Linked DNA regions of Saccharomyces cerevisiae S288C. The gene in region 2 interacts genetically with the main gene of each other region. Each region holds a gene or a part of one and is shown on either strand. Other genes may lie near its edges. The genes, in order: COX3, TIF1, YGR054W and ABD1.

Region 1 (8,099 bases), on a different chromosome or scaffold from region 2:
TTATATATTTATTATTTATTATTAATATTTTATTTATAATATTTATAATTTTATTAAATATTATTACTAAATATTTATTTATTTATAATAAATTTATTATATACTTTTTTATATTATTATTATAAATTTTAATAAACTTTTATTTATATATAATTATAAATAAAGATATAAATATTTATCTCCTTCTTTAAATAAAAAAAGGGGTTCGGTTCTCCCCCCGTAAGTATACGGGGGGGTCCCTCACTCTTTCGGGGTCCGCCCCCTCCGCGGAGGGGGCGGACCGGACTTTATTATTATTATTATTATTATTATTTTTATTTTTATTAAATAATATTTATATAATTTTAATAATTAAAACTTTTTATATTATATTTATATTATTTGATTATATTATTAATTATATAATGTTAATATCAATTATATTTTATATTTATATAATATTATAATATATATATTTATTATATAATTATTTTTTTTTATTAAATTTTATTATATATACTTATTCTCCTTTCGGGGTTCCGGCTCCCGTGGCCGGGCCCCGGAACTATTAATTAATAATAGGTGAAACAATAGGATTTTATATTACCTGTGAACAACTGGTAATATTTAATCCGTATTATATTATATTATATTATATTAATATTAATATTAATATTACATAAAATAAATATTAATTTTTATAAATTATTATCTCCTTCTTAATTAAGAATAAAAAGGGATGCGGTTCCCACGGGGTCCCGCACTCCTTCGGGGGTCCGCCCCCTCCGCGGGGCGGACCGGACTTTATTATTATTATTATTATTATTAATAATAATTATATTTATAAAATTCATATGATTATTATTTTTTATTATTTTATATATATATATATAATTTATTATTTTATATATATATATTATATTATATATTTTTTTTTATTATATATATATATATATTATATATATATATAATATATTTTATATTATTTATATATTATTAATTCTTTTTATTTTTTATTCTATTGTGGGGGTCCCAATTATTATTTTCAATAATAATTATTATTGGGACCCGGATATCTTCTTGTTTATCATTTATTATATTAATTATTTGGTTATTATTTTTAATTTATATTTATTTTATATAATTTATTATATTGTTTATACTTTATATCTATTATTAATTATATTATATTATTATAATATATTTATTGATTATATTATTAAATATTAACAAATGTGTGCTCTGTATTTATTTAATATTCTGGTTATTATCACCCACCCCCTCCCCCTATTACTTATATATTTGAAATATATAAATATATAACATAATAAATTAATATATTAATAATTATATACTTATTTTTTTTTATTATTTATAAATATTATTTAATAAAATATTAACTTATTTATAAAATTTTAATAAATATATTTAATATAATTCTTTAATTTAATAATAATATTATATTTTAATATAATTTATTTATTATTAATAATTAATATATTCCTTATTTATTTTTTATTATTATTTATAAATATTACAATTTATTTTTATATTTATATTTATTATTATTATTTTATAATAGATATATTAATATTCTTTTTAGGTTCTAATAGATCTTCATTATATACCTTTATTAGAACTTAATGATAATATTATATTTTATATTTAAACTCCTTTCTTAATAATAAAATTATATTTTTATATAATTTATAATTATTTACTTTTTTATTATTTATTATTATTTATTATTAATATATTAATATAATAATAAGTTCTCGAATTCCTTTTTTCTTTTAAAGAAGGAAATTATAATAATATTAATATATATAGGTAAAATATAATAGTCCCCACTCCGCGTAACGGTGTCCGCAATAATATAACTTATTAAATTCTTATATATACTAAAATAATAAAAATTATTCTTTTCTATTTTTTTATTATTATTATTATTATTATTATATATATCATTTTATTTTTATATAATATTTATAATATAATATTATACATTATATTATAAATTATAAATAATATCATAATATATTAAATTATAGTTTGAATGAGTGAGGGACCCCCTCCCGTTAGGGAGGGGGACCGAACCCCTTTTTAATTTAATTTAATTTAATTTAATTTAATTTAATTTAATTTAATTAAGAAGAAGATATATAATTATTTATTCTCCTTTCGGGGTTCCGGCTCCCGTGGCCGGGCCCCGGAACTTTATAAAATTATTAATTATAATAGTCCGGCCCGCCCCGTGGGGCGGACCCACCCCAAAGGAGTAATATATTATTAAATATATAATATATAATATATATAATACATATAATATACTTTTTATATTAATAATATATATATAAAATATAATATAAATAATATTATTTAATATATATATATATAAATATATATATAAATAGAATAAATATTCTATTAATATTCTATATATTAAATACACTTATTAAAGTTTAATTCTAATTCTTTTTAATATATGAACTATTTAATTATTTATATATTTTATTAATATTAATAATAATAATAATAATTATTATTATAAATTAATCTTTAATAATATTAAATAAGTTTATTATAATTAATTAATGATAATTTATTTAATGAATACTTCTTTTGGGACTTTATATTTAAATTTATATAAGTGTGAATTCCTTATTATTTATCATTTATATATATATATATATTTTTATTTTTATTTTTATATAATATTTAATAAACATTTTATATTTAATTATATTATTAAAGATATAAATTATAAAAAGGGTAGGTATTTTGATAATAAATAATATATTATTATATTAATAAAGGGTTTAATAATTATGATAATAATAATAAAGAAATTCAATTAATTAAATTTAATTAAATTTTAAACTCCTTTTTTTGGTTCATATTTATAATATATAGAATATAAAATATACTTTATAAAATAGGTATTCATTCCTCTCTCATGGAGGTTCACACCTATTTTTAATAAAATATAATAAAATATATATAAAATATATATAAAATAGGTGCTCACTTCAAAAAATAATTACATAAATAGTATATTTATAATATATTAATATTTCTCCTTTCGGGGTTCCGGCTCCCGTGGCCGGGCCCCGGAACTATATAATATTTAATAATAATCAAATAAAAAATATTTTTTATAAAATAATATTAATAATATATATATATATATGAATTTATATATTAGTTAAATTAATAATATTTATATTATATTATATCATATTAAAAAAGTCCCGCTGGAGGTGAGGCGGTGACCTCGAAGGAATATAAAAATATAAATAATTACATTATTATATTATATTATATTAATATTATATTTTTTTTTTTATAAATATTAAATAAATTTATTAATTATCTTTATAAAAGGTAAATGAAAAAAGAGTATAATGATTATATTATTATTAGTTCCCGCTTCGCGGGAACCCCGTTAGGAGTTTTGAAGGAATAATATATAATAATTATATTTGTAAGAATATTATTATAATAATATAAAATATATATATATAAATTATAATATATTAATTATTGTTAATTATTAATAATATATATATTAATCATTTAGATATATAATTCTATAGCCTTAGACTCCTCATCAGTAGAAGACTACGTATAAAAATAATCAGATAACATCTAAAACATGTAGATAAATAATAGTTGTTTCATATCCAACATGATGTCCAGCTGTTAAATGATAATTTCTCATTCTTCAATAATTAACACCTAACATAGCTGCTAACATTACCATATGTAAGAAATGTAATCCTGTACCAGCATAGAATACTGAACCATAAACACCATCAGAGATAGTGAATGCAGCATTAGTATATTCAATATATTGACAAGTAACAAAAATAACAATTAATCAGAATGTAATTAATAAACCTGATAAGGCTTTATTTCTATTACCTGCGATTAAGGCATGATGACTATAAGTTACAGTAGCACCAGAAGATAATAAGATAATAGTATTTAATAAAGGTAATTCGGTAGGTTGTACAGCTTCAATACCTACGGGTGGTCAACATGCACCTAATAGTACATCAGGACTCATAGCTGAATGGAAATAAGCTCAGAATAAACCAGCAAAGATTAATACTTCAGATAATACAAACATTAAGAAACCTAAATTAATACCTTTTCTTACTGCTATAGTATGATCACCTAAATATGTAGCTTCAGCTACAATATCTCTAAATCATAAAATAGAACTTGTTAATAATACAAATAATGCTAAATATACCATATTCATATTACCAATATAACCATGCATTGTTAATGCTAGTGATAATGCTAATGATAATAATGCAAATGATACTACAATAGGTCATGGTGAAGGCATAACCATATGAAATGGATGTTGTTGATGTCTACTTCTTTCTAAATGTGTCATAAATTTATTGTTATATATATATTATATATATAATATAATTAAATAAATAAATAAAAAAAATATTAATAAAATATTATCCCTTAAACTATATAATAAAATTAAATAATAATATTAATTTAATAAATCTTTTATTTAATAATAATATAAATTATATTAAATATTTATAATAATATATTATTTATAAAATTATAAAATAAATTTATATATAATTCAATATATATATATTAATTTATATATTTAAATTAAATATAATTAAATAAATAATATAATCGAATTAATATCTCTTTCGACCGGATTATTTATTCAATTATTAATAATATAAATAATTAATTTGTATTGAATATAATTTATTTAAATATTTTATTATTATTATTATTATTATTATTAATTTATTAATATTAAAGGAAATATATTTATTATATTATATTATATATATTTTTTATTATTTATATTTATTATTAATATAAATCATTGATAATATCTTCTTTTTATTTATTTATTATTATAATTAAAAAAGAATCTTATATTAATTAATATTATTTATTTTTTTTTTATTTAATAAATAAATATTATTATATTAAGATAGATATAATATTATATCTAGATTTAGGAAATATAGGGTTCGAACCTATAATCTTTCGTGTGTAAAACGAATGCTATACCAATTAAGCTAATCTCCTTTATAAAATATATACTCCACAGATATATATCCAAAACTCTTATTAATTATTATAATTATTATTTTATTTATTTATATATATATAATTATAATAATTCATATAATTATTATAATCTTATAAATATTCCTATTGAAAATTATACTTTATAATTAAATTTATTAATAATTATTTAATTTAATATATAAAATATTTATTTATATATATATTTATATATATATATATATTTTTATAAGTAGTATATTATATTTTATATATAATAATATTTATAATATATATATTATAAATTATATATAATATATTATATATTTATTTAATAATTTTTATATAATTAATATATTATATATTTAATAAATTTTATATAATTAATAAGGTAAATATAATTTAATGGTAAAATGTATGTTTTTAGGTGCATATTATCTAAGTTCAAATCTTAGTATTTACAAAATAAAAAATTAATATAAATTTATTATAATCATTTATAAATTTATTATAATATTATTATTATATTTATTTATTATTAATAATTATTTATTATTTATTATATAATATTTTTATAATTATATATTAAATATATATAAATTTTATTATAATAAAACTCCTTCTTAAATAGGGGTTCGGTTCCCATGGGGTCCCTCACTCCTTACGGGGTTCCCGCAAAGCGGGAACTAATAATAATATATATTTTTATATATATATTAATATATATATATATTTATAACTCCTTTATTGATATTTATTCTTATTTAGAATATTTTTAATTAAATAATATAATTAAATGAATACCAAACTTATATTATATTTATATTTATATTTATATTTCTCCTACCGGGGTTCCGGCTCCCGTGGCCGGGCCCCGGAACTAAATATATAAACTTTTTTTTATAATATTATATTTATTAAAATATTAATAAATAAATAAATAAGAGATATAATATATATTTTCTTTGTATTAAATATATTATATATATATATATTAATTATTATAATATATTTATTATAAATTAATTATTAATTAATATATTATTATTATTGCCCTTAATGAGAATCGAACTACATGTAAATAAATCTTCAATTTATCGCTTTACCACTAAGCTATAAAAGCTATATATAATATAATACTTATTATTACTTATAATATAATATATATATATATTTATATAATAATACATAATATATATATATATATAAATAAAACATAATATATAATATATATTTTTATATTATTAATTAATTAATTTATTACTTATCTTATTATATATATATATAAACCTTTTATAATATATTAATATATATAAAACTTTAATATTATTAATTATTATATTTATATTTATATTTATATATATAATAAATATATATATATATTTATATAAATTATATAATAAATAATAATTATATTTTATTTATAATTAAAAATAATAATTATATAATATATTACTCCTTCGGGGTCCGCCCCGCGGGGGCGGGCCGGACTATATTATATATAAAATAATAAAAAGTCTATTTATAATACTAATATAATATTATATTAATATTATTTATTAAAAAGTAATTATAATAATATTATTATTTATTTAATTTATTTATTTATTTATTTATTTATTTATTATTATTATTAAATAATATATTATATTTATATTAATTATTTAAGATATAATATTAAGTTCTGGGGGACGGCCCCCCGTATCCGTATCCGTATCCGTATTCGTATCCGTATCCGTATCCGTATGGGGGATCGGAACCCCAAAGAGGAGTGAATACCTATTACATTATATTTATTTTATATTATATTATATTTATTTTATATTATATTATATTATAAATATAAATTATAAAAGGAGTAAATATAATTCTTATAATTTAATTATATTATAATTTTATTTTATTTTATTAATATTTCTCCTTTCGGGGTTCCGGCTCCCGTGGCCGGGCCCCGGAACTATTAATATAAAAATATATAATATTTATAAAAAAATTATACATTAATTATTCTTATTATTATTATTTATTTAATTATTATAATAATTATAAAAAGAATATTTTTATTAAATTATTAAATTTATAATATATTTAATTATATTATAATATATAAATATAATTTTATAAAATAATAAGCTAAATATTAAATATATATTTAATATTAATATCAATATAATATTAATATCAATATAATAATTTAAGATATATTATTTAAAGATTTAATTATAAATATAATAACTCCTCTCGGGGGTTCCGGGTCCCGTAGCCGGGACCCGAAACTTAATTAATATATATTTTATAAATTAATCATTATTTATTTTAAATAAAATATTAATATTTTTATAAATATAAATTCTATAATAATAAATAATAAATATATATATATATAATAATAAAGAATAAAAGAATATTATTAAAAGTTATGGCTATAGCCATGAAGAATTAATTAATTATAAAAATAATTAAAAGAAAATAATTTTATATATTTATAATAAAAGAATAATTTATATATAATTTATATAAATATAAAAAAGTCTCCTTTTTTAATTTTAAGAAGAAGTAAAAATAATAATTAATCTAATAAAATATTTTTTAAAATATATTTATTTATAAATACATTACCATTTTTAATATATTTAGCAATTTCATGTTTAGTCCCGGCCCCAGTCGGGACCCCGAAAAGGAGAACAATTAAAGTAAAGAGCTGCTGGTCTATAACCAGTAAATGTTATAATTAATGTATTATTTAAATCATAAACAAATACTCCAACATTAATAAATTTAGTATTATTATTATTTATAGAATTTAAACGTTGAATATCACTATTTATACGATATGGTAATTTATAATTATAGATAAGATTTATATTTAATACATCATCAATAATATTTTTAGTTCCGGGGCCCGGCCACGGGAGCCGGAACCCCGAAAGGAGAAATATTATAATTAGAATAATATCTTTTTTTATTAATATTATTATTAATTAATTTTAATAAATTAGAACCTTTAAGTGTATTATGTAAACCTTTTATATAGATTTCTATAAGTGTTTTTC
Region 2 (8,519 bases):
AGACCTGAATTATCCTTTGCCTTAATCAAAGCAAGACTATGGGAATTAACTCAGTTCGAACAAGTTCTTTACTTGGATTCCGACACTTTACCTCTGAATAAAGAATTTTTAAAGTTGTTTGACATTATGTCTAAACAAACCACGTCACAAGTGGGTGCTATTGCTGATATCGGCTGGCCTGATATGTTCAATAGCGGTGTCATGATGCTAATACCGGATGCTGATACTGCATCCGTTTTACAAAATTATATTTTTGAAAACACTTCAATTGATGGTTCTGACCAGGGCATTTTAAACCAGTTCTTCAATCAAAATTGTTGCACTGATGAGCTAGTTAAAGACAGTTTCTCTCGAGAATGGGTACAGTTATCATTTACGTATAACGTAACTATTCCTAATTTAGGCTACCAATCTTCACCTGCTATGAATTACTTTAAACCTAGCATTAAGTTGATTCATTTCATTGGGAAACACAAGCCATGGTCATTGTGGTCCCAAAAGAATTTCATTAAAAACGAGTATCATGATCAATGGAATGAGGTATACGAGGAATTTAAGGAAGAACATCAATTAAATAACGAAGTTTCGAAGCCAAAGATTAGTGATTCCGATAAAACTGAGACTCCTGAAACGATAACCCCAGTGGATGCCCCTCCATCGAACGAACCCACTACGAATCAAGAGATCGACACAATTAGTACAGTGGAAGAAAACGTGGACAACCAGAACGCCGAGCCTGTTCCTAACTCGGATCATAGCCCTGCTCCTAACCCTGTCCCATTGGATTTTACCAAGTGGTTAACAACCTTTATTAACAAAGATCACTTGACTAATCAGCCAGTAAATGAAAGCAGAGAATATTCGAAAGAGAATGATAACAATATAATCAATAGCAGTTCAAACCGCGACCAAGAAAGTCCTCCAAATAGTACTCAGGAACTAAACAGCTCTTATAGCGTTGTGAGTACTCAAGCTGATAGCGATGAGCACCAAAATGCAGAAGAGGAGGATAGTACGACAGATAACGCTTCAAATTCTGGAGAAGAAAGCCACCTCGATGATATAAGCACGGCCGCTTCTTCCAATAACAATGTAAGTAATCAACCAGATGGCAAAAATTTTAGCAATTCTAAAGAAAATAATATCAGTGTCGAATCTAGCCCTTCAAATCCAGAACAGAAAAGGTCAACTGACAATATACAAAAACCAAGTGTTTCTACTAATGACTTACCAGACGACGTAGAACCACATACCTCTGTTGATGACAATATACAGTACTTAGAAAAAGACAAGGAAGGTTATGAAGAATTTCTTCCGGACGTGTACGAGTCAAATGCAATCGATAACGAAGAAGAATTTTTTGATGACGATGCAAGAGATGCTACCGAAGGAGAAACGAAGACGAGTGCAGTTGCAGATAAACAGGAGGATATGAAACTTACAGCAGAGGAAACCAACCAACCGCAACAAGAAATGCCCAACTTCAAATTTGACTGGGAGGACTCTGATTATCTATCCAAAGTAGAGAGGTGTTTCCCTGATGATATTTTTGAGTATGCAGTAGAGTAAACTTCCACGCACATATTAGGAAAATTAAAAGACATATCTATGTAAAGACCTTTTCGACTATACAAAAATGCATAACTATTCTATATACATTCAAACTCGAAATTTACTTTAAAGGTTTATCAGCAACAACATCCGATGCTTGCTGTTTATCTTTTCTCACCTCACAACGTTTATAGTGACTGAAAAATTTTTGCATTCTCACCTCGTCTATTGAATGATGTGCTAAGAACTTGAGCTAACATCACAGAACAAAGGTATGAATATACGCAGCCCTGACATTTGTAGATTTTTTATTTGGTCTCTAGTCTTTTCTTTTCTTATTTTATAACAAATTCGTTAAACGGCCTCCTTCTAATTATATACAAGATGTCTGAAGGTATTACTGATATTGAAGAATCCCAAATTCAAACCAACTATGACAAGGTTGTCTACAAGTTCGATGATATGGAATTGGACGAAAACTTGTTAAGAGGTGTTTTCGGTTACGGTTTCGAAGAACCATCTGCCATTCAACAACGTGCCATCATGCCTATTATTGAAGGTCACGATGTCTTGGCTCAAGCTCAATCTGGTACTGGTAAGACCGGTACCTTTTCCATTGCTGCTTTGCAAAGAATTGACACCTCTGTCAAGGCTCCTCAAGCTTTGATGTTGGCTCCAACTAGAGAATTGGCTTTGCAAATCCAAAAGGTTGTCATGGCTTTGGCTTTCCACATGGACATCAAGGTCCACGCTTGTATCGGTGGTACTTCCTTTGTTGAAGACGCTGAAGGTTTGAGAGATGCTCAAATCGTCGTTGGTACTCCAGGTCGTGTTTTTGACAACATCCAAAGACGTAGATTCAGAACTGACAAGATCAAGATGTTCATCTTAGATGAAGCTGATGAAATGTTGTCTTCTGGTTTCAAGGAACAAATCTACCAAATTTTCACCTTACTTCCACCAACCACTCAAGTTGTTCTATTGTCCGCCACCATGCCAAATGACGTCTTGGAAGTTACCACCAAATTTATGAGAAACCCAGTTAGAATTTTGGTTAAGAAGGATGAATTGACTTTGGAAGGTATCAAACAATTCTACGTTAATGTTGAAGAAGAAGAATACAAATACGAGTGTTTGACCGATTTATACGACTCTATCTCCGTTACTCAAGCTGTCATCTTCTGTAACACCAGAAGAAAGGTCGAAGAATTGACCACTAAGTTAAGAAACGACAAATTTACCGTTTCTGCCATCTACTCTGATTTACCACAACAAGAAAGAGACACCATCATGAAGGAATTCAGAAGTGGTTCTTCCAGAATTTTGATCTCCACTGATTTGTTGGCTAGAGGTATCGATGTCCAACAAGTTTCTTTGGTTATTAACTACGACTTACCAGCTAACAAAGAAAACTATATTCACAGAATCGGTAGAGGTGGTCGTTTCGGTAGAAAGGGTGTTGCCATCAACTTTGTTACTAACGAAGACGTTGGCGCTATGAGAGAACTAGAAAAGTTCTACTCCACTCAAATTGAAGAATTGCCATCCGACATCGCTACTTTGTTGAACTAAGGGAGACAAAAACTTCTTAAAAAAGTATCTTGTGAGGCTATCTTGATAACGTAACATATATTTCTAAAAAGTTATATATGCTTTTTGTATTTAATTTGTTTTTCTTTTTACATTCCTATTATTCTTCAAAGTCCAAAAGACTCTCGGCACGAAGGTTGAAATACCCTATACTAATTGTTTGCTTTGTCTTTTTGTATATATCCGAACGTATCTATCTGAAATTTTTCAAATTTATAAAAAATAATATATATAAAAGGAAAAAAAAAAAAATCGATGCCCTACTAATAGAGATTGGAGCTGAAAAGAAAAAGTGTACATCAAACGCTATATCTCGAGGTTTGGGATGGTTGAGTCAAATGATATTATAAAAAGTGGGCTGGCAGAGAAAGCACTAAAGGCTCTAATTTTACAATGTGAAGAGAACCCATCTTTAAAAAATGATAAGGACATACACATAATCATCAACACGGGCAAAAAAATGGGCATAAACAGGGACAACATCCCCCGTATTATTCCATTAACAAAGTACAAGCTATTTAAACCAAGGGACCTAAACATATTACTCATTACCAAGGATCCCTCTGCCTTGTATAGAGAAACTTTGACGAAAGACGAGCATACGTCGGAATTATTCAAGGAAATTATAAGTGTCAAGAACTTGAGACGTAGATTCAAAGGGAGTAAACTGACCCAACTTTATAAAGATTTTGACTTGGTCGTTGCCGATTACAGAGTTCACCACTTACTTCCGGAGGTTCTTGGTAGCAGATTTTATCACGGTAGTAAAAAATTGCCATACATGATCCGCATGTCGAAAGAAGTAAAATTGAAGCGTCAACAAATGGTCGAAAAATGTGACCCCATTTACGTGAGAGCACAATTGAGAAGTATATGTAAGAATACCTCATACATTCCCAATAATGACAACTGCTTAAGCGTCAGGGTCGGTTATATTCAAAAACACTCCATACCAGAAATTTTGCAAAACATCCAAGATACAATAAACTTTCTCACTGATAAAAGTAAGAGACCGCAAGGCGGCGTCATTAAAGGAGGAATAATATCTATATTTGTCAAGACCAGTAACAGTACTAGTTTGCCTATATATCAGTTTTCAGAGGCTAGAGAAAATCAGAAAAATGAAGATCTGAGTGATATTAAATTGTAAAATTAAAGCATCATCTTTTAAATACGGTATTTAAACACTCCCAATGAAAAAGCGTGATTTTGTCTAACTAATTATAGCATTAATAAAGTGTTTTAAACTTTAATTCCTTTCAAGAATTTGCAAGATTATAGAAATTTAGTAAGCGAAAAAAAAAAAGAAAAAAAAAAGAACAGACACCCTATAAAAATAGAATAAACATAATAAGCCACCATTTGCCTGTCTGATGATATTCTTGATTCTTTATATCTCTTCAGGTATGTGACACCTATACATGCAACGCTTTTTTTGCGTTTTTTCTATACAATAGTTGTTTATTTAAAAGCGTAGGAGCTTCATGCAAATCTGCAAGGTATTTCTTACACAGGTTAAAAAACTACTTTTTGTTAGTCTTCTATTTTGCTTGATAGCTCAAACATGTTGGCTTGCACTTGTACCATATCAGAGACAGCTGAGCCTAGATTCGTATTTTTTTAGAAGATCTCGAGAAGTTTCATCGAGATATGATTTTACAAGGAGGCGACATATGAATCAGACGCTGAAGCTATCTAGCAACACTTATAATGATGAACCACTAAACAAGACCAAGGGAATAAAAAATCAAAGAGAAAATGCTACATTGTTAATGCTTGTGCGTAATTGGGAACTTTCGGGGGCACTCCGTTCCATGAGATCACTAGAAGACCGTTTCAATAAAAACTACCAGTATGACTGGACATTTCTTAATGATGTCCCATTTGATCAAGAGTTCATCGAAGCCACCACAGCCATGGCTAGTGGTAGAACGCAATACGCTTTAATCCCTGCGGAGGACTGGAACAGGCCATCTTGGATCAACGAAACTCTATTTGAAGAGGCTTTACAATTAATGGAGGAAAAAAATATCTTGTACGGTGGGTCAAAGTCATATAGAAATATGTGCCGATTTAATTCTGGATTTTTCTTTAGACAAAAGATATTAGATCCGTACGATTTTTATTTCAGAGTTGAGCCAGATGTAGAGTATTTTTGCGATTTTCCCTACGATCCATTCAAGGTGATGAGGCAGAACAATAAGAAATATGGCTTTGTGATAACTATGTATGAATACGAAGATACAATTCCGAGCCTATGGGAAGCTGTAGAAGAATATCTCGAAGAAACAGAGTCAGCAGATATTGACATGGAAAGCAACGCTTTCGGGTTCGTATCAAATTTCGACTTCATCGGTAAATCTTTTGGTGTCATCGATAGTAACAGCGGCTATAATTTATGTCATTTTTGGACAAATTTTGAAATTGGCGATTTGAACTTTTTCAGAAGTGAGAAATACATTAGATTTTTCGAGTACTTGGATTCAAAGGGCGGTTTTTACTATGAAAGGTGGGGAGATGCACCAGTTCATTCGATTGCTGCCTCACTTCTTTTGAAAAAAGACGAAATCATCCATTTTGATGAATTAGGCTATAAGCATATGCCTTTTGGCACGTGTCCATCTGCATACTACCTGAGACTTCAACAAAGATGTCTTTGTGATAGCAATCACCCAGACAATATTGATCTCAATGTCATCAGCTGCCTGAGAAGATGGTGGAAGGACGGCAGCGGTAAATACTTCCTCAAACACGATTCATAGCGAGAAAAGCGTGTATCCGCATACTATAAATACGTATATATAACAAAGTAACCATCAAGAAAGATGTTCCATACCTCAGGTCATCACCATTTCATGGGTCGCTTAACCGAAAATATCAGAAGCAACCTCTAACGGCGATGGTTTTAAAGATGGATTACCTCAGCACCAACAGTTACACTATTCGGAACCGAAGATTTATCTACGATACTCATTATCCTTTCTCTATCTCACCCTGAAATAATTTATTAAAAATAAACTATGCCAAAGAAGAGAAAAGAGAAAAATTTAAAAAAAACGAGAGCCATTGCAACAGTTTTGGAAGTAAGAATAGGTTGAAAATTAGTCAAAAAGACAAATCCGGCTCCTATAAACCATCAAACAATAGGCTCCCTAAAGCATCACAAATTGTTATGCTTTCTTTTAAGAGAAATGTTTTTTAAAGCATCAAAGGTCCAGGGCAAGAAAAATTCTTTCTGGTAGCAAATGCTATAGTTCACGGCTTTTATAGTCAAAATGTTATATGCGAGAAGAAAAAGAAAAGCGCGAGCTTACTTCGGGTAAGAAGTTCACTTACGAATCAGGGCAAAAGAGCTAATAAGAAGTGAACTAGTTACATAACCGTGTGCTCTGTAGAACACGAGAAAGCTGTTACACAGAACTGTTTTATACCAAGTAGTTCGTTCGATTTGGAAAAGAGAGTAGTCTTTTGCGATGAGTAAAAACAGGGACCCTCTACTGGCTAATTTGAACGCTTTCAAAAGCAAAGTGAAGTCTGCCCCGGTGATCGCACCCGCTAAAGTTGGACAGAAGAAGACCAATGACACAGTGATTACTATAGATGGAAACACTAGGAAGAGGACGGCCTCCGAACGTGCGCAAGAAAACACTTTGAACTCTGCGAAAAATCCTGTGTTAGTGGATATCAAGAAAGAAGCTGGGAGCAATAGCTCTAATGCTATTTCATTAGATGACGACGATGACGACGAAGATTTTGGTAGCTCTCCTTCAAAAAAAGTAAGGCCTGGCTCTATTGCTGCAGCCGCTTTACAAGCAAATCAAACAGATATTTCCAAGAGTCACGATTCTTCAAAGTTGCTTTGGGCGACTGAATACATTCAAAAGAAAGGTAAGCCCGTTTTGGTGAATGAGTTATTGGACTACTTGTCAATGAAAAAAGATGACAAGGTTATTGAGCTTTTAAAAAAATTAGATAGAATAGAGTTTGACCCCAAGAAGGGGACTTTCAAATACCTTTCCACCTACGATGTCCATTCCCCTTCGGAACTGCTGAAGTTGTTACGTTCACAAGTAACATTCAAAGGTATTTCCTGCAAAGACTTGAAAGACGGTTGGCCACAATGCGATGAAACGATTAACCAACTGGAGGAAGACAGCAAAATTTTGGTGTTAAGAACTAAAAAGGATAAAACTCCAAGATACGTTTGGTATAACAGCGGTGGTAACTTGAAATGTATTGACGAGGAGTTTGTTAAAATGTGGGAAAATGTGCAATTACCGCAATTTGCAGAATTGCCAAGAAAGCTGCAAGATTTAGGTCTAAAGCCTGCTAGTGTCGATCCTGCTACTATCAAAAGACAAACAAAGAGAGTTGAAGTTAAAAAGAAGAGACAAAGAAAGGGTAAGATTACTAACACTCATATGACCGGTATCTTGAAAGATTATTCCCATAGAGTATGAGGTTGTTTTGATTAAATCATTTTCGTTTGCATATTAGGTTAAAGAGACTGTGATTATATATACATGCACGTTAGGGTGCAGCATACAACTCAGCTTTATAGTCTACAACGTATTTATAACGAGCATTGGAAACAGGTTACAGGACACCAAAGGGTTTGGGTTTCCAATTTTGAACCCTTGACCAATTTTTTACTGGTGTAGCTCTGTTCTCCTCTTGTTTATTTTTTTTACCTACTGTTCCGAAACTGCTCATTCTCTGTTTCAAAGACGCCAAATCGCCTAGTATATCATTGGTATCAGCCTTTAATGCCGGACTCACTTCCTTCTTCAATGGAACGGAATCTTTTTCCGCAGGAATAAAATCATACAGCTTTATTTCACCTTCATTAAACCTTAATGATAAATTGTCTATGTTTTCCTTCAGTTTTGCCTCGATTTCCACTGTGCTATCAATTTGTTTTCTCCGTTTTTTGTTTCTCCATGAGTTACCAGTAATTTTTTCAGTCTCTAGTTTGGCCAGCATAGATTGGCAAAAATACAATATCAAGTATGACGCATTTTCATCAATAAGTTTCTCCCAATTTTGCCATTTATTTTTAAAATTTTTATTGTTAAGGTTATTTATAATAACATCTAACAGCCTTTTTTGTAGTTCTTTCCAGGCATTGAATTTCCTTTTTAAAATTGTCGTTATATTACTATCATCTTGTTGGGTTCTGTAATTCCTAGCTACCCACTCAATGACCTTCCAATCAAAATTGTTCAAATTAAGCATTAAAACTTTGAGTAAAAGTGGGTCATAATTGTTAAAAAATTTCTCAAGAACCACATTGTGATAAATGGATAATTTCCAAAGTTCTTGCCATTGACGCAAATTTTCCCTGATCATAGTTTCTGATGAACTTGCGTGTGAACTTT
Region 3 (9,325 bases), on a different chromosome or scaffold from region 2:
TCTGTCGTGAGGGTCTTTCGGTGCGGTGGTGAGGCTGCGTAAACAAGCTTGCTCTTCATACCCCTCCCGTGGAGCTAGTTCGGAAGGACTATTGGCGCATCTTCTGTTGAGAGGTTCCGTAATTCTCCGTAACGTCCCGTTCACCACTTTGCATGTGCTCTCACGTACGGCCGTCTCTTTTCGGCCTTCGGCCCGTTCCGATTTTTGTACCCCTTACGTGCTTTGAATTCTAGAAGGCATCTCCTCTCCGATGGCTTGGTACAGGGAGCACTAGGGAAATTGCACATGGAAGTATCTGGAATACAAAGTTTTTGAAAAGAAAAGCCGAGCGTAATATTGGGACAATACCCAGTTCTCAGCCTTTTCAGCGCGGGTATGAGACAGCTTGCAACAGGTAAAAGGAAGTTAGAAGGGTTAGGTGAAGGGAACGATGATGCTGCCTGAGAACAAAAATGCAGCTTCATGTTACATACAATAAAGGAAGGATAATTAAGGGGACCATGCAATAAGGGACAACTTAATTTTGGAAAAATCGGAGCTTAGTTGCATCTACCTACTAATACTTTCCCCAAAGAATAATAATACGAGTACAATACATATATATATATATATATAATATACACATGTAAGTGATGACTATTCTTAATACAAAAAAATTTCCCTTTTATAATAACTATTCTTAGCATTAAATAACCCGTTACTGACAAAAAGCATATAACATAGGACTCAAGATCGACTCTCATACCCTCCGAATCAAATTCTCACTCGTATACGCAATCATTTAAATAAGCACATCATTATCAGCATATACCGAATAATAAAAAGCAAAAATGTATACAAAACTAAGATCTATACAATCAGGAACATTTAGCACAGTTTATAAAGCATGGAGTACTACACATAACCGCTACGTCGCTTTAAAGATTACTCCTAAATACAAAACTTCAGAAGCCAACATGAAGAACGAGTATGATGTAATGAAGATTTTGAGTTCTTGTAATCCTCACCCCAACATCTGTTCGATGCTCGACTTTTACACGGATGACTCGTACTACATCATGGTGCTAGAATACTGCGAATGTGGTGATCTTTATGACTTTCTAGATATTGCTAAGAGTCAAGGTAGCCCGTCGTCTCCATCTTTGATTCAAATTGATATGCAAAAGATAATCAAACAACTGTGCTCAGCAATCAGCTTTGCTCACAGCTTGGGTATTGCTCATCGTGATATCAAACCAGAAAATATTTTGCTAACGATAAATGGTGACATCAAGTTGGCAGACTGGGGTCACGCTATCCAATCCCCTAAATCTAACGACTTCCAGATTGGTACCGATAATTACAGGGCGCCAGAAACTTTCTCTGGCCGCGTTAGTAACTCTTGTTTTAAGAAGAATTTCGATCGGTCATCGGCTCCATTGTATAACACATACCAAGCTGACTATTGGTCATTGGGTGCCACCATATTTTATCTGATGTTCGGCGATTGCCTTTTTAGAGTCTCCAAATCAAAGAAGGTTCAGCATCTAAAAAATTTCGATGAGTTTGAAAAAGATCCATTTGCATTCATTTACAGGAAATACGTAGTACCAAGGCTCTCCTGTGGTTACAATGATGAAGAAGACCTACACGTTAGCCTGCAGCATACGAGGCAGTACATATGGCAAGATCTACCCGACATTTATGATGTCTTCCATTTGTGCAAGATTATGGTTGATACCTTATTAAAGGTATCGAACGCTAAAGAGAGGTCGATGGAGAATTTCATCAATGAAGTTGATTCTGCATGGAACAAAGATAGCTCGATGGACAGCTGCTTCTCGTACCAAAATAAGATTGATCTGTTTTGGGAACAGTGGTCTGTGAACACGGAAACAGTACCAGCAAAGTTCCAATTGAAAAATTTTGAGAAACCTTGCCTAATTCAAGATGGAAAATAAGAAGTAAAAAAGACCTTTTGAAAGTTTCGCCTCATTTTCCTTGATCTGACTTTTTATCCCCTGCTTATCCAATTTTAGTTAGGAACTTTGGCATAATTTCAGTATTACATACTACCTAATCGACATAAAATAATATTACATATTCATTTTTTTAAAAAATAATCATAATCAATTTATCCTTTTTATTCCTTTTTTCTCCTGTGCAAGGTTGATGGTGATGTTTATGATGGTGTGTTTATTATTTACAAATAAAGATGCTATCTAATTCTTGTATATCGTATTAACATGCAAATGCACCGCGAGTGGCAATTTTCTTCTCGTAATGGATCAGTTCAACATCTTCAATGGTATGAACCAGAATTTTCGAATTTTCTTCGTTAAATTCGAATATGAATGTTCCCTTAATCAGCCGGGATAATCTCTTTTTTTTACTTCTTTTACCGTCGCCATCATTTTTCTTCTTCTCATCTTCTTTGGAATTTTGAGTTTCGTTGACCTTATTTTCCATTGACCTTTCAGCTGCATTTTCAAGGTACTCAGAGATAACACTTTGGTTCAAATTATTGGCTGTAGGATGTAAAATGTAGTCTATGACTGGTACCGACCTCATTGAAAATGAACCGCCTGCACCATTGCCTCGTTTCTCCTCTTTCAATCTGTCATTAATTTCTAATTTGGTAATCTTGCAATGGTCTTCCGGTATGCAGCTTTGCCATTTGATCACCAATTTGTCATTACATGTTATGGTATTATAACTCTGAAGAGCAGATTTAACTTCTTCATCATGCGATGTCGATGTTAGAGTCTTTACTGAACTTATATGCAAGCGACATTCATCGCCCAAGATAAACTTTCGTACTATCATTCGCATTGCATTCAAAGAAGCCATGTATTTTGATTTTCCATGTAACACTGGAATATATGGATGCGATGTTGGAAATAGTCTAAAAACAACGTTATCCGCCAACACTGACTCCTTGAACATTTTTTGTAACAAATTGGGAACACCTTTAACCACTAAATAATCTGTTATTTGCCCCAAATTGGCCACTTTTTGAGAATTGGAGTACCATCGAGGAAAGATTCCTTTGATAGATATTATGCCGGCTCTGCAAACACACTTTAGTAACATAAGTCTTTCCCCCTATTATCTATGAATATAAACTGTCTATCTTTCCTTGGTTGTGATGTATCGTTTTCCGTAGAGGCTTGCAGCTTTATGGCTCATACCTGTCATCCCTCTTTATGGGCCTTTTAAGGGCGCTCTCTACATTGTATTCTATTCATTTTTTTCGTAACCGTAACTACGCGCCTTCTTAACGCAAGGCGCTCGACTCATCATGAGATGCGTATGAATGTCTTTCAGTGTATAGAAATACATCTCACCAAATCTATTTATTTAACTAATATTTCTTTTAATATTTTCCTCAAGAAACTCAGGCAGTTAATGTTGTGTCCTATTTTTTTTAGTTCTTTCCCATTTTTATAGCACTCGTACAAAAGAAATCGAAATATTTCAATATGTTTAGACTCGGTTCTATGTGTTAAAACTGCAAGATGAAAAAGTAACATCTATCTTAGATTAAGGTCCTTTCTTTATATTCTTTACTTTATTAGTGAGCAGAAATATTATTAAAAATTGCCGCTGTCATACTGTACGATATTATTACCCGACCGCAGAATGTTCCTCAATACTTTCTTTTTCTTCCTTTTTTTCACTTCGCTTTCTTCATGTCCATCAATGAAATTTCAGCTTCATAGCGATTTATTTTCAGTGTACGTTATTCAATGAAGATTCCTTTTCCTCGATCTATCCAGACGACTAGACATAGCGAGAATTCTTTACGGTAGAAGCAACCTATAGATTACCGAATCATAACTTTCTTTAGTGTTGATTGAGACGTGTTGTGTTTAAACTATCCATTGCATCTCGATAAAAAAACATAGTACTACAACAAACAGTCAGGTTCAATAACACCTAAACATTATGTCATCTCAGTTTTTCCTGAAAACCTCTCAGGATATAGAGCTCTTCCAAAGCTACCCAACTTTTGAGCAATCCAACACAAACTCCAAGGATTTCCCTGTCATTTCCTCGGTTTTATCGCCATGTGGCAGATTTTTGGCTTTATCTACGAAGGAGAACGTCAAAGTTTTTACAGGTCCATGTTTGGATAACGTTCTATTAACAATGAAGTTGTCCGACGTCTATGACCTACACTTCTCTCCAGCAGGTAACTACTTAAGCACTTGGGAGAGAGCGTCTATACAAGACCCAAATCACAAGAACGTTAAAGTTTGGTATTTGAATAAACCATTTAAGAAAGATTGCGTTTCGGAGGATATAGTCCCTGCTTACGAATATCAAGCCAAATCCCAAAGCGGTTGGTTTTTACAATTCTCCAAATTAGACAATTATGGGCTAAGACTTTTTAAACACGACTTGAAGATTGTTAAATTAAGCTCCGCTAATGCCGACAATTTCGACTTCCAATCTCCGTTTGCTGTCTTGTCTGATGATGAAACGTCCCAACATTTCACCACCTACCTAATCTCTCCAGCTGAACATCCAACAATTTGTACTTTCACACCAGAAAAGGGTGGTAAACCGGCTCAATTAATCATATGGGCCCTCTCTGAAGGTAAAATCACCAAGAAAATTGCCTCCAAAACTTTCTTTAAAGCTGATTCCTGCCAATTGAAATGGAATCCATTAGGTAATGCTATTTTATGTTTAGCTATTACTGATTTTGATTCCTCAAACAAATCATATTATGGTGAAAACACACTATACTTACTGTCTTTCCAAGGTGTCAACGGGACTTTGGGTGGTAACTCTGTACGTGTTTCTTTAACCACTGGACCTGTCCACGATTTCACTTGGTCGCCAACTTCAAGGCAATTCGGTGTCATCGCTGGTTACATGCCAGCAACCATTTCCTTTTTTGACTTAAGAGGTAATGTTGTCCATTCATTACCTCAACAAGCCAAAAATACCATGCTTTTCTCTCCCTCTGGTCATTACATTCTTATCGCCGGGTTTGGTAATTTACAGGGCTCCGTGGAAATCCTAGATCGTCTCGACAAATTCAAGTGTGTGAGTAAATTTGACGCTACCAACACTTCTGTCTGCAAATGGTCACCGGGTGGAGAATTTATCATGACAGCTACCACTTCACCAAGATTGAGAGTGGATAACGGCGTTAAAATATGGCATGTATCAGGCTCTTTAGTATTTGTTAAAGAGTTCAAGGAGCTTTTGAAGGTAGACTGGAGGTCACCATGTAATTACAAAACTTTGGAAAACAAAGACGAAGCATTTTTCGAGAACCATATCATTAATAACTGGGAACCGCTACCTGATTCGACCACATCTTCACTTGATCCTAAAATATCCAATAAATCAGAATTGCAAATACATTCTAGCGTTCAAGAGTACATAAGTCAACACCCAAGCAGAGAAGCAAGCTCCAATGGAAACGGATCTAAGGCCAAAGCTGGAGGCGCTTATAAACCACCTCACGCAAGAAGAACAGGCGGTGGACGTATTGTCCCCGGAGTTCCTCCTGGTGCAGCAAAGAAGACCATCCCAGGGCTAGTTCCGGGCATGAGTGCCAACAAGGACGCCAACACCAAGAACAGGAGAAGAAGAGCCAATAAAAAGTCAAGTGAAACGTCACCTGATTCTACTCCGGCCCCATCTGCTCCTGCCTCCACAAATGCCCCCACAAACAATAAAGAAACTTCTCCAGAGGAGAAGAAAATAAGATCTTTACTAAAGAAATTAAGGGCTATTGAAACCTTGAAGGAAAGACAGGCCGTCGGTGACAAACTAGAAGATACGCAAGTTCTAAAAATTCAAACTGAAGAAAAAGTGTTGAAAGATTTGGAAAAGTTGGGTTGGAAGGATGAATAAACTAGAAGAAACTGATGTATCCATACAACTGTGTAAATATTAACAACGTCAAATAATACTACTTTGAATTGTTTTTTACTGTTTCCCAGGAGAATTACGCCAACCTCCCCCCTTTCTTTTTTTCCCTTGTTTTATTGTACTTTTCCACATATTTTTTTAACATCAAATAGTAATTGATACATACATAATTAGTGAGCATTTTCCTTATTTTTACGTCTCTTCTTGGCGGATTGCCACCAGCCGCATCTTACAATGTATGCCACGATACCGCCAGGCAATAAATGAATATGGAGTGTCACTTCGGCTCCGTAAGCCGGCGCTGCATCCGCCACCACAGTTTTTTTTAGCGTCGCTGTCGCCGCTTTGCCACAGAAAAAGAAAAAAAAAAAAGAAACGGCGCCGTGTAGGGTTTTGTATAACAGATCGGCCTAGCAGCCAGGAGATGGCACGGCGCCAACTGAAAAGTTAGACTGTGGAATTGCCGTTCACCACACTCGAGTGGCATCTAATAAACTGCCACAGTTGACTCAAGCGGTGCTACCTTCGCAGTTATTGCACACCATGGTAACACATAACACAGTCTTGCATTACAAATGTGGTTCCTCCTACTTGGCGGTGAATTTCTTGAGTCAGCCCGTTATTTTCATATGGTGATGTAAGATTACATACAGTATATATATATAAGGATGATTCTCACACAAACTTTTCCGCTGTTCATCATATTTTGTTTTTGGATTAGTTTCACATTCTGTAGAAATCTTTAAAGACAAGAGAAGAGAAAACAAAGGCGGAGCAATGTCGGAAGGAAGAACGTTTCTGTCACAGTTGAATGTCTTCAACAAGGAGAACTATCAATTTTCTTCTTCTACTACAAAAAAGGAAGTAAGTAACTCGACAGTGGATGCTGACAACGGTGCCTCCGATTTTGAGGCAGGCCAGCAATTTGCTACAGAATTGGACCAAGGTGAAAAGCAGTTAGGTATTTTGTCGTGTATTGGGCTTATCTGTAATAGAATGCTTGGTACCGGTGTTTTCGCCGTTTCCTCGACCATTTACACACTATGTGGGTCTGTGGGGCTTGCATTAATTATGTGGGCAGTTGGCGCCATTATTGCCATTTCTGGGTTATATGTATACATGGAATTCGGTACGGCTATACCGAAAAATGGTGGTGAAAAAAACTACCTGGAGGCTATTTTCAGGAAACCAAAATTCTTCATTACCTGTATGTATGCTGCGTATATTTTCTTCCTAGGTTGGGCTGCTGGTAATTCCATCAATACAGCTATTATGTTTTTAACTGCTGCTGATACTGAAGTGACCAAATGGAATCAAAGAGGTATTGGTGTGGCCGTCGTTTTTTTTGCATTCCTAATTAATTCTCTGAATGTCAAGATTGGTCTATATTTGCAAAACATTTTAGGTATTTTCAAGATTGGTATTGTCCTCTTCATTTCTATTACCGGTTGGGTTGCCCTTGGCGGTGGTCTCAAAGATGGTTATCAATCTCACAACTTTCGTAATGCTTTTGAAGGTACTGAAACCGCCACTGCTTATGGTATTGTTAACGCCTTATATAGTGTTATTTGGTCGTTTGTCGGTTACTCCAATGTTAACTATGCACTTGGTGAAGTTAAGAACCCTGTGAGAACTTTGAAGATTGCTGGTCCTACATCGATGGTCTTCTTGGCTATAATCTACATTTTTGTGAACATTGCTTACTTCGCTGTGGTTCCAAAAGATAAGTTAATTTCTTCAAAATTGATTTTAGCTGCTGACTTCTTCGATATTGTGTTTGGCGGCCAAGCCAAGAGAGCAGCAGCCGCACTGGTCGGGTTGAGTGCCTTAGGAAATGTTCTTTCTGTCATTTTTTCTCAGGGTAGAATTATTCAACAACTAGGACGTGAAGGTGTGTTGCCCTTTTCTAATTTCTTTGCCTCTTCTAAGCCATTCAACTCCCCAATGGTTGGTTTGTTTCAACATTTTATTGTTTGTACAGTAACCATTTTAGCCCCACCTCCAGGTGATGCATATTTGCTAGTCCAAAATTTAATTTCCTACCCAATGAATATTATTAATTTTGCCATTAGCGCGGGTTTGCTTTGGATATACTGGCAACGTAGACAAGGTAAAATTGAATGGAACCCACCAATTAAGGCCGGTGTTTTTGTTACGGGATTTTTCACATTATCCAATTTATACCTGATTATTGCTCCTTACGTTCCACCTTCAAATGGCGAGTCGGTGTATTCAAGCATGCCATACTGGATCCACTGTGTAATTGCTTGGGGTATTTTCTTCTTTGGTGGTGTTTACTACGTTGTTTGGGCCCAATTATTGCCAAGATGGGGCCACTACAAATTGGTTTCCAAGGATGTGCTTGGTGAAGATGGGTTCTGGAGAGTCAAAATTGCCAAAGTTTATGATGACACTATTGGCGATGTCGATACACAAGAAGACGGCGTTATTGAAACGAATATAATCGAACATTACAAAAGTGAACAAGAAAAATCGCTGTAACCAAAAAGGTACTTACCATCTCATCTCGATTCTTATAATCACGTATGAACATTCTTATAATTGCATTTTCTTTATACAAAATATATAGGTACCAAACCTCATTATAATTTCTGCCATTTAATAGTTTAAGATGCTATTCCGTTTCGTATTTTTTCAATTTTTATACCTACTATTGCGCGAAATCAAAATAGCATACTAAGAAAAAGCAATATCATGAATTGCTGATGAGATAGATTCAAATTGGAATTAACTAAATCTATCAGCAACGCTATAAACACAGATAAGCGCTCTATAAAATCGTTTGTCTAACGTTTTATATAGTTCTTTATTGCTCCCTTACCCTCTTTCCGTCAATAGTGATTGTTGTCTCGGGAAAGCTTTTTTTTTTATTAATCAAAGGCCCAATTGAGTTACAACTGAAATTAAGCTGAGTTGGCGGAACAGTGTGGTATTAGCGAAGGGAAAATCTGTGAAGTGCCCTAGCTACAAAACAGAGATAAAAAAAATTATATTTCAAGCATGGTGGAGCAAGATAATGGGTTTTTACAGAAGCTACTCAAAACACAATACGATGCTGTCTTCCATTTAAAGGATGAAAATGGTATAGAAATATATCCAATATTCAATGTACTGCCACCTAAAAAAGAATATCCAGACTATTACATTATAATAAGGAATCCGATATCTTTAAACACTTTAAAGAAACGATTGCCCCATTATACATCGCCACAAGATTTTGTTAACGATTTTGCGCAAATTCCTTGGAATGCAATGACATACAATGCAAAAGATTCAGTAATTTACAAATATGCCATTCTTCTTGAGTCTTTTATTAAAGGAAAGATCGTGCACAATATAAGAAAACATTATCCCGAGGTGACATATCCATCTCTAGGTCGAATTCCGGAAATATTCGCAGAGAGTATGCAACCCTCCGATTTATCCTCGA
Region 4 (8,457 bases), on a different chromosome or scaffold from region 2:
TTTTGTTGTTTGAGGAAGCTGTCGACATATGGAAAGCTGCAATCAATGGGCAAAATACCTACACATCTAATATTTTTCTGAATCCAAGAGTTGTCGGTGTTATATTACCCATCTTATACGACAATGGTGTCTCTTATCCAGAAATTCAAGCTCTATATGAAAAGTCTTCATCGATGATTAATTACTTCCATCCAAATCTTTCAGTTGGGATGATCAGAGCCTCTTTATCTGCTAGTGAAAATGACATGGCTCTCAAATTATTCCAAAAATTATGCCAAGAATCAACCGAAATGAAATACGGTTATTTGATAGAAACCCATCTTTCCTTCATTGGTGAATGTAAAGACTTGAATGTGGCTCAAACCTTTTTTGACAAGGCTTTAAATGATGAAATGCCATACAAGATAGACTTGCAAGTTTCCTACGTGAAATCCTTTTTAAGAAACATATGGAGCCAAACCCGTGATTTCAACCACATCTATCAAATCTGGTACAAGTCTTCTTTACATTATGGTAGAAACGTCAACCACGGTATTTCTTCATCTTTGAATGACACTTTTTTCGACATTTTTTTTGAAAATTATGCTGTGGACAAGATGCAAGGTTTTCAAACTTTACAAAATATTATTCAAACTTACAACAACATCAAGCATATAGATGAACCTTTCTTTAACATTATCTTGGCTAAATGCACTGTCTGGCATGACCGCAGTATTTTAGAATACATCGATAAGAGTTACGAGGCGTACCACATTCCAAAAACAATAGTCGCTTATAGAATCTTATTAAAGTCTATGGGATCTGTCGATGATGCTTCGAATGCAGAAATTCTCCAAAGATGGATGGATTTAATCCGCAAATCAGATGAAATTGGTCAAAGATTTATTGCCAACGCAGATTGGGCGGCCTTAAGAGATGCTACTGTAACATGGACCCAAAATGATAGAGATTCCAAGAAAAGTAACATGAACAGCACTCAAATAAGCAGAACCGCAACTCCTTCGCCATCCTTAACTCCAATGGATACTCCAGCACCAGAGCATTTGTTCAACAATCCTCAAAATCCAATGGACTTCTACTCTCATCCAGCATTGCAAGCAGCAACTGCTTCTGGTGCATTTGATGAATTTGCTGCGGAGGCTGCTTCTTCTTCCATACCAGTTGACGGCAGAATGGTTTTGTATTTGAAAATTGTTAAACGTTACTCTCCATATTGCCGTGATTCCAGACAACTAGCCAGATTAACAACAGGGACCGCTGTCAAATATTCCGTTTTGCAAGAAGTTTTGAACCAATTCCAAACTTTAATCGTTAACGATATTCCTATTCCTGAATTACATAATTTGAAGCCAACGTGTGTTTAAAGTTAATATCCTTCACTTTTCACCTTCTTTCTCTACAGAACAAAAAAAGAAAGAAGAGTAACAATTTCAAATTTATATTCCCTATGAATTGATGTGATAAACTTACCATTATTAATATTATTATTCGATTGTCAGTTTTTCCCTTCCTTATTTTTATCGTTATTTCATTATTTTTTATTTGTCATATCACATCTCAAATCAACTAAAAAACTATTATTATATTCTTCAAGCCTACCATTTTCTTGATAAATTTTTTTGAAGTTACTTTTATTCCATGTTTTGTTTTTATTTGCTTTTCTACTTTTATTTTCCCCTCTTAATTTTTTTTTAAAGCATTTACCTTTCATTATATCCTATGAATTCTCATTGTTTCTTTCCCACTTTTTTAAATTCCATTTTATTCGAATCGATAAAAATTTCAAGATTTTTTTCTACATCATATATTATATATTATTTTGTTTTTATTTTTCCTAATAATTCTCTTTTTTTTTTTTTATTATGATTGAATATGCTTTAAATTACCACCCTAAAAATTTCAGAACTAACTACGAAAGTATATAGCACCACGAGTGAGTTAAATTCTAAAAACTAGTATTTAGTACTCTTCAAAGACAAGCTTGCAGCCTTTACGACCCCCTCTTTAACTTTTTGCTCCAGCAATTCTATACTTAATTGTATGTCTTTCTCATCTTGGCCTTCGATCAATAAGTATAGTTTAGGCTCATCGTTTTCATTCTTTGGTTCCTTCCCTTCAGGGTAAAATTTACCCTTGTTAGTAATACTACATCCGGTTTCATGCTTGATAAATAATAAGGTTGTATTCTTTGTAGCCTCCCATCTTACAATCTGGGGTAAATCATTAATATAAACCTTGGCGTAAAAGATGATCGACCCGTCTGTAGACTCTTTGAATAGTTCATAATTGAGTCTCGGAATAAGCGCAGAAGACTCAGACACACTGTCATGCCCTTCGCGTGGATTGCTGATTTTCTTTTCCAAGTCATCGCTCCTCTTATCATTCTTTTTGAGCTCCAAATCTTTATTTTGAGCTTCCTCTCTTTTACTTTTGATATTTTCCAGTCCTTTGCCGCCGAACCCTTTCGACAACCTAAACTTACCCTTTTTCATACCGGATTCAAACTTGGCACTCATTTCCTGAAGTTCTTTTGCTTGCAGAGGGTCTAAAGCTTTTATTTCTTCATCGCGCATTGCCTTGCTCAAGATATAAGCACCTGACAGTTCATCATGCAATAGAAGAGTAATAGCAGTACCGGAGCGACTACCTCTGGCAGTTCTTCCAGTAGTATGAACATATTGCGCGAAAGTTTTGACGGCGTTATAGATAATAACCAACGACACTTCGGGAACATTTAAACCTCTTGAGAGAACCTCTGTACAGAGAAGAATACTGTTCTTTTCTCGTTTGAACTTTTCTAAGTTCATAAGCCTTTCTTGATATGGCTTACCTGCATGAATAGCACAGGTCACAATTCCAGCATTTAACAGCTTTTTTGAAATGAAGTCGCAAATATTCTGACTTGATACAAATATAATGGCTTTAGCATCAACTTCTTCAACATCGCTTGACTGTCCGTCATTTTCACTTTGAACCTCGTCAAAAAATTCACTGCGCTCATGGATAAGCTGCACCAGATTGTCAAATTTTTCATCTTCTGAATGGCATATTCTAAACTTTTGTTTTACGTTTTCATTAACCATTCCCTTTGAATTAATCGTAATAGATATTGGGGAATGCAAAACTCTTACGGCAAAACTGCGTAGTTTGTTCGGAAAAGTTGCACTAAATAGAACACACTGTTTATCCGGTCGAACAGTTTTCATGATTTGCGTTATTTGAGGTTCAAAACCTAAATCGAACAGCCTGTCTGCCTCATCCATTACTACGAACGTTATTCTTTTAGTACTAAGTAATTTCCCATCATTTAGTGTTAATATATCAATAAATCGTCCCGGTGTGGCAACAACAATCTCAGTGCCTCTTTTAAGATCAGTAATCTGCTTTTTCATTTCAGAACCTCCTGTACAGCATACTGATCTAATGGATGTATCTGCTTCTGTGAATTTAGTAACTTCTTCATGTATTTGTAAAGCTAGCTCTCTAGTTGGAGCCAGAATTAAACCCATGGGCCCTGTTTCATGTTTTGATAATGGCCGTTGAGCTTTTACTTGTCTTAGCAATGGTAAAAGATAGGAGATGGTCTTGCCGGAGCCAGTTTTTGATATTCCTATAACATCACGACCTGACATAATAGCGGGAAGAGCCTGGGATTGAATAGGCGTTAAGGAGCCAAAGTGCAACTTTTCTGTAATTAAAACCATGGTGTCCGTTGATAGTCCCAGTTGAGACCACTTTGTGACTGGTTTGGGGCAACCTGTTCCCTTTATTTTGATATTATCCAGACTAAGTCTAAGCTCCTCAACTTCCATCTCTGACATCGAGGAAACTGTTTCAGATTCTATATAAAAATTTTTTTGGAACGGCTCAAGCTCTTCTGGAGAGTAATAAATTTGCTTTACACGTTTTTTTGCTTTGAGTTTAGCAATTTTCGCTATATTAGAATTATCCGTATTATCTTCAACATCCTCATCGTCGGTTCCTCCAAGTTCAAACAATTGATCCTCTACATCAAGAATGTCGCCTCTGTCGTACATGCCTTTACTATTACTCATTTTCTCCTCCTTCAATGACGTCATAAACTCATCCAGTGGATCTTTTTCATTATCATGCTCTGGAGCTTTTTGAATGTGCTCCTTCGATCTAAAAGAAACTCCTATTTCAGAATCATCGTCATCACTGAAGTCGAAGGATATTTTCTTCTTTACCTTACTTCTCTTCGACTTTTTCTTCGAAGGCTTAACCGATACAGGTTCGTCAGATTTCCTAAATTCATTTTTTCTCTTCCGAAGCTCTTCTTTTACACGTTCCTGTCTTTCCGTAAACTTTTCAGTAGTCTGCTTACCTTCTAAACTGTTAGTAACAATGTCATTGCGTGAAGTTTGATGCTCTTTCTGAGCATCAAATTGTGCTTTTTTTTGTTTCCATTTTGCTAGTTTTTTCCTCCTTTCCTCCAATAAAGACTCCCTATTAATATTTTGCTTCGAATCAATAGTTTCCATACCTCAAATAAACCCAAGGCAACAGCGTTATGATTTCCCTTCTCGAATTATTTGGCGCTGTATTATATTAGAAAGAACTCTAATACCTTTAGTTTGGTCCATTGCTCTAAATGACTTTAATTAGTTTCATCTAATCCGGGTAATGGTAAATCAAGATATTTCAACATAAATTAGAAGATTTCTTATTTTAATCCTTTACATGTGAGACACTTTTCCGATTAATGTGACAACTACTACAACGTGGAGTCGTCCATTATCCGTCTTAGAAAAGTAGAATGTCAACCAAACCAGAGAAGCCAATATGGATGTCACAAGAAGACTATGACCGTCAGTACGGCTCAATTACTGGTGATGAATCGTCCACAGTCTCAAAAAAAGACTCCAAAGTTACTGCCAATGCGCCTGGTGATGGTAATGGATCATTACCAGTTTTGCAAAGCAGCTCTATCCTTACTTCTAAGGTGTCTGATCTACCCATTGAGGCAGAATCCGGGTTTAAAATCCAAAAGAGAAGACATGAAAGGTATGATCAAGAGGAAAGATTACGCAAACAGCGTGCTCAAAAATTGAGAGAAGAGCAACTAAAGAGACATGAAATAGAGATGACTGCAAATAGATCCATAAATGTTGACCAGATTGTCCGAGAGCACTATAATGAACGTACAATAATCGCCAATCGCGCTAAGAGGAATCTATCGCCTATTATTAAGCTTCGTAATTTTAACAATGCGATTAAGTATATGTTAATTGACAAATATACAAAACCTGGAGATGTCGTTTTAGAACTCGGATGTGGCAAAGGTGGTGATTTAAGAAAATATGGTGCTGCAGGTATTTCACAGTTTATTGGTATTGACATTTCCAATGCCTCTATCCAAGAAGCTCATAAGAGATACCGGTCCATGAGAAATTTGGACTACCAAGTTGTGCTAATTACTGGGGATTGCTTTGGCGAATCATTAGGTGTTGCAGTAGAGCCCTTCCCAGACTGTAGATTTCCGTGTGATATCGTTTCGACGCAATTTTGCTTGCATTATGCTTTTGAGACCGAAGAAAAAGCAAGGAGAGCTTTACTGAATGTCGCCAAATCACTCAAAATTGGTGGTCACTTTTTTGGCACGATACCAGATTCAGAATTCATTCGTTATAAACTGAATAAATTTCCCAAAGAAGTGGAAAAGCCATCTTGGGGAAACTCCATTTATAAAGTGACATTTGAGAATAATTCATACCAAAAGAATGATTATGAGTTCACATCGCCTTATGGTCAAATGTATACTTATTGGCTAGAAGATGCTATAGATAATGTTCCTGAATATGTTGTGCCATTCGAAACCTTAAGAAGTTTGGCTGATGAATACGGTTTGGAACTAGTATCGCAAATGCCTTTTAATAAATTTTTTGTCCAAGAAATTCCCAAATGGATTGAGAGGTTTTCGCCTAAAATGAGGGAAGGTTTACAAAGATCTGATGGTAGATATGGTGTTGAAGGGGATGAAAAGGAAGCGGCATCATATTTCTATACCATGTTTGCATTCCGTAAGGTAAAACAGTATATCGAACCGGAAAGCGTAAAGCCCAACTGAAATAAAAATGAATAGAAACAATAACCCTACTATAAAGCATCTGTATTTCGGCCGTATTACAAGACTTCTATATGTAGTAAATAAGTTCTGGGGAAATGCATAACGATATATGTGTTATTCTATAATGCAGTAGTTACTGTCATGGTTTGCGAATTGATTAACATGCATGGAGGTAAGCCCTCCAACCAAATATCCAAGTCCTCGACATATTGTAAACTTGCATCGTGATCTTCATGTGTTCCAAGAGCTGGAACTGGCAAGGTTGAAAAAATTAAATCCGAACTCTTTGACATTTGTGTCATCACATCATTCAGAACCAAATGTTGAGCAGTGCTGGGAAGATCATTGAAACCTAAATTTTGCATCGCTGTGACTAAACTATCTTTTGAACAACAAGGTGATAATTCGGGAAGAACCGGTTTCTTTAATTTGTTGCCGTTGCCAATACCGCTCCCAGTACCGTTCCCATTCGAAAGGTCAGGTTCGGCAATTGGGATCAGTGTCGGCTGTTCACCCGTGCCATCTTCCACGACTCTCGTCCTCGGCAAAGTATTACTCGAGAAAACGGGTCTTAACGACTGTGTTGACACATCGCTTTGTAAATTCTTTACGAGTAAATTTGTTCTGTCGGAACCGGTCTTCGATTTGGTCGTTAAGTCCTTACCTACTGAAATATTAGTCGATGCCGAGAAGGCATCACGAATTGACGTAAGATCTGTATCCAAATCGGAGTCCTCACTCTCGCATGGGGTATCAATGCGGTTAGTTGGCATTCTCGTATTCATTGTAAATGAGACACCCAATTTCTGAACCCCAGACGTATATTTTCTTGATTGTGTAAATTGCTTTGCTATCGTTTGAGGTTCAATAGTGGAAAACCTCCGCTTCGGTTTTAATGTATCACGAGCTTCAACCAAATCTTTCCACCATTCATTATCGGCCAATTTCGAGTTGACATAATCAAACACGATTGGGTCTCCCTTGACAATTGTGTTGTATACTCTGAATTGATCTAAAGATACTACCAAAACCTCTGCGTCAATTCTTAGAACCTGTAATAGCTTTTTCATTCGTTGAGTTTCGTTCGTTCTATGATATTCTTGTTCCACAAATAAAATAACTCGAAGCGAATGTGTGCGCTTCCATTCAGGAACAGTAACCAAAATGGCAGCTAATTGTAGAATCAGTGTATACGTATCAAAGTTAGTAGTGATAGCCGCAGGCTGGTCACCCTTTGCCTCAACTTTTCCGCACATTTGGATGGGATAAAGATCTATAGTTTTTTTTGGAAAGCAGCTGTCCCTTTTGTTCGGTATCTCTAAATTTTTGAATCCATGCGCTATGGCAATATTGGATTGCATCAGTGATAGATCTTCTACAATTTGAACCCATTGTTGTACATTAACTTTGGTTTCATTTTTACACTCATCCGTAGGCAATGGAACATTGATTTTGACATCAGAGCATGTACTACGTGGCACTGTAGCTTTTATTTCCACCTGTTTCTGAAGGTTATTTTGGCTGCGACTTTGTGGGATGTGCTTTCTATAACTTTCGAGGTCAAAAAAACCGACAACAGTAATGTTTGGTTTCATACCTCCAAGCCCGGAACCAATAAAAACATTCCTAATTCCCCATATAAGGGAGGGACCAGTCCCAACTTGGACAAAAGCCTTTATTGCTGCCATGTCTCTGATCTTCATCCAAGCTTTCTGCTGAGTTTTTAATTCATTTAGTTGCTTCGGAAAATCCGCAGTTACTGCAACATGGCCTAAAATATACAAACCACCTTTTTTCAAATGATTGCAAAACCTTATTAAGTTCCAGCTCGTCCTTGGATTATCTACAAACAGCAATATTTGAGGCCTCCAGTATTTAATATTGTCTTGACGTAGGCGAAGCAAATACTTTCTCACTTGATGATATATTAAACTTTGAGACACATCACCCCAAGACTTCGGTGGTGAAAAATAATGAATGAATAAAAATAGCAAAATCATAGCCAAAAACAAGACAGACGCTGAGATGCCATCAACTATTAACATCGCAACAACAGAAAGTAATGCGCCAATTGCTGTAGTATACCTGTTAAAGTATTTGAAAGAGGGCCTGAAATTGGGAGCAGAGGAAATACCTAATAGGAAGCACGCCAAATTCATGACCACAAACGTCATTAAGAATGTCATTGTGATAAATGTGGCGATTTTATTGACGTCTGAAAACAAACATAGCTGTGTTAGAATCCAAGTAAAAATCAATGAATATAACGGTGAATGAGCAAAAATCTCCAAACCAGGAATAATGTTATCCTTTGCAATTGCTTCTAATACATAAGCAGCACCGAGCATCCCCACTATGATGGAGAAAAG

What was found.
Region 1: of TIF1 (region 2) and COX3, extra expression of one rescues a mutant of the other (dosage rescue), as found in Saccharomyces cerevisiae (one study listed by BioGRID).
Region 3: mutations in TIF1 (region 2) and YGR054W together harm fitness more than expected from each alone (negative genetic interaction), as found in Saccharomyces cerevisiae (2 studies listed by BioGRID).
Region 4: mutations in TIF1 (region 2) and ABD1 together harm fitness more than expected from each alone (negative genetic interaction), as found in Saccharomyces cerevisiae (2 studies listed by BioGRID).

Annotation. Positions count from the first base shown.
Region 1 is NC_001224.1:75,501-83,599, reverse strand, and holds COX3 (cytochrome c oxidase subunit 3), read right to left. Parts: upstream 4,388-8,099; coding exon 3,578-4,387; downstream 1-3,577. Other genes in the region: Q0255 (maturase-like protein), read right to left, coding at 7,616-7,696, 7,728-7,937, 7,978-8,099. UniProt on the Saccharomyces cerevisiae protein: Component of the cytochrome c oxidase, the last enzyme in the mitochondrial electron transport chain which drives oxidative phosphorylation.
Region 2 is NC_001143.9:553,052-561,570, forward strand, and holds TIF1 (translation initiation factor eIF4A), read left to right. Parts: upstream 1-1,935; coding exon 1,936-3,123; downstream 3,124-8,519. Other genes in the region: glycogenin glucosyltransferase GLG1, read left to right, coding at 1-1,569; UTP30 (Utp30p), read left to right, coding at 3,467-4,291; mannosyltransferase KTR2, read left to right, coding at 4,626-5,903; transcription factor TFIIE subunit TFA2, read left to right, coding at 6,615-7,601; rRNA-processing protein LAS1, read right to left, coding at 7,738-8,519.
Region 3 is NC_001139.9:592,766-602,090, forward strand, and holds YGR054W (translation initiation factor 2A), read left to right. Parts: upstream 1-3,927; coding exon 3,928-5,856; downstream 5,857-9,325. Other genes in the region: protein kinase FMP48, read left to right, coding at 831-1,940; MCO32 (Mco32p), read right to left, coding at 2,221-3,072; MUP1 (Mup1p), read left to right, coding at 6,652-8,376; RSC subunit protein RSC1, read left to right, coding at 8,896-9,325. UniProt on the Saccharomyces cerevisiae protein: Functions in the early steps of protein synthesis of a small number of specific mRNAs. Acts by directing the binding of methionyl-tRNAi to 40S ribosomal subunits.
Region 4 is NC_001134.8:688,014-696,470, reverse strand, and holds ABD1 (mRNA (guanine-N7)-methyltransferase), read left to right. Parts: upstream 1-4,777; coding exon 4,778-6,088; downstream 6,089-8,457. Other genes in the region: YBR238C (uncharacterized protein), read left to right, coding at 1-1,364; DEAD-box RNA helicase PRP5, read right to left, coding at 1,953-4,502; VHC1 (Vhc1p), read right to left, coding at 6,208-8,457. UniProt on the Saccharomyces cerevisiae protein: Responsible for methylating the 5'-cap structure of mRNAs.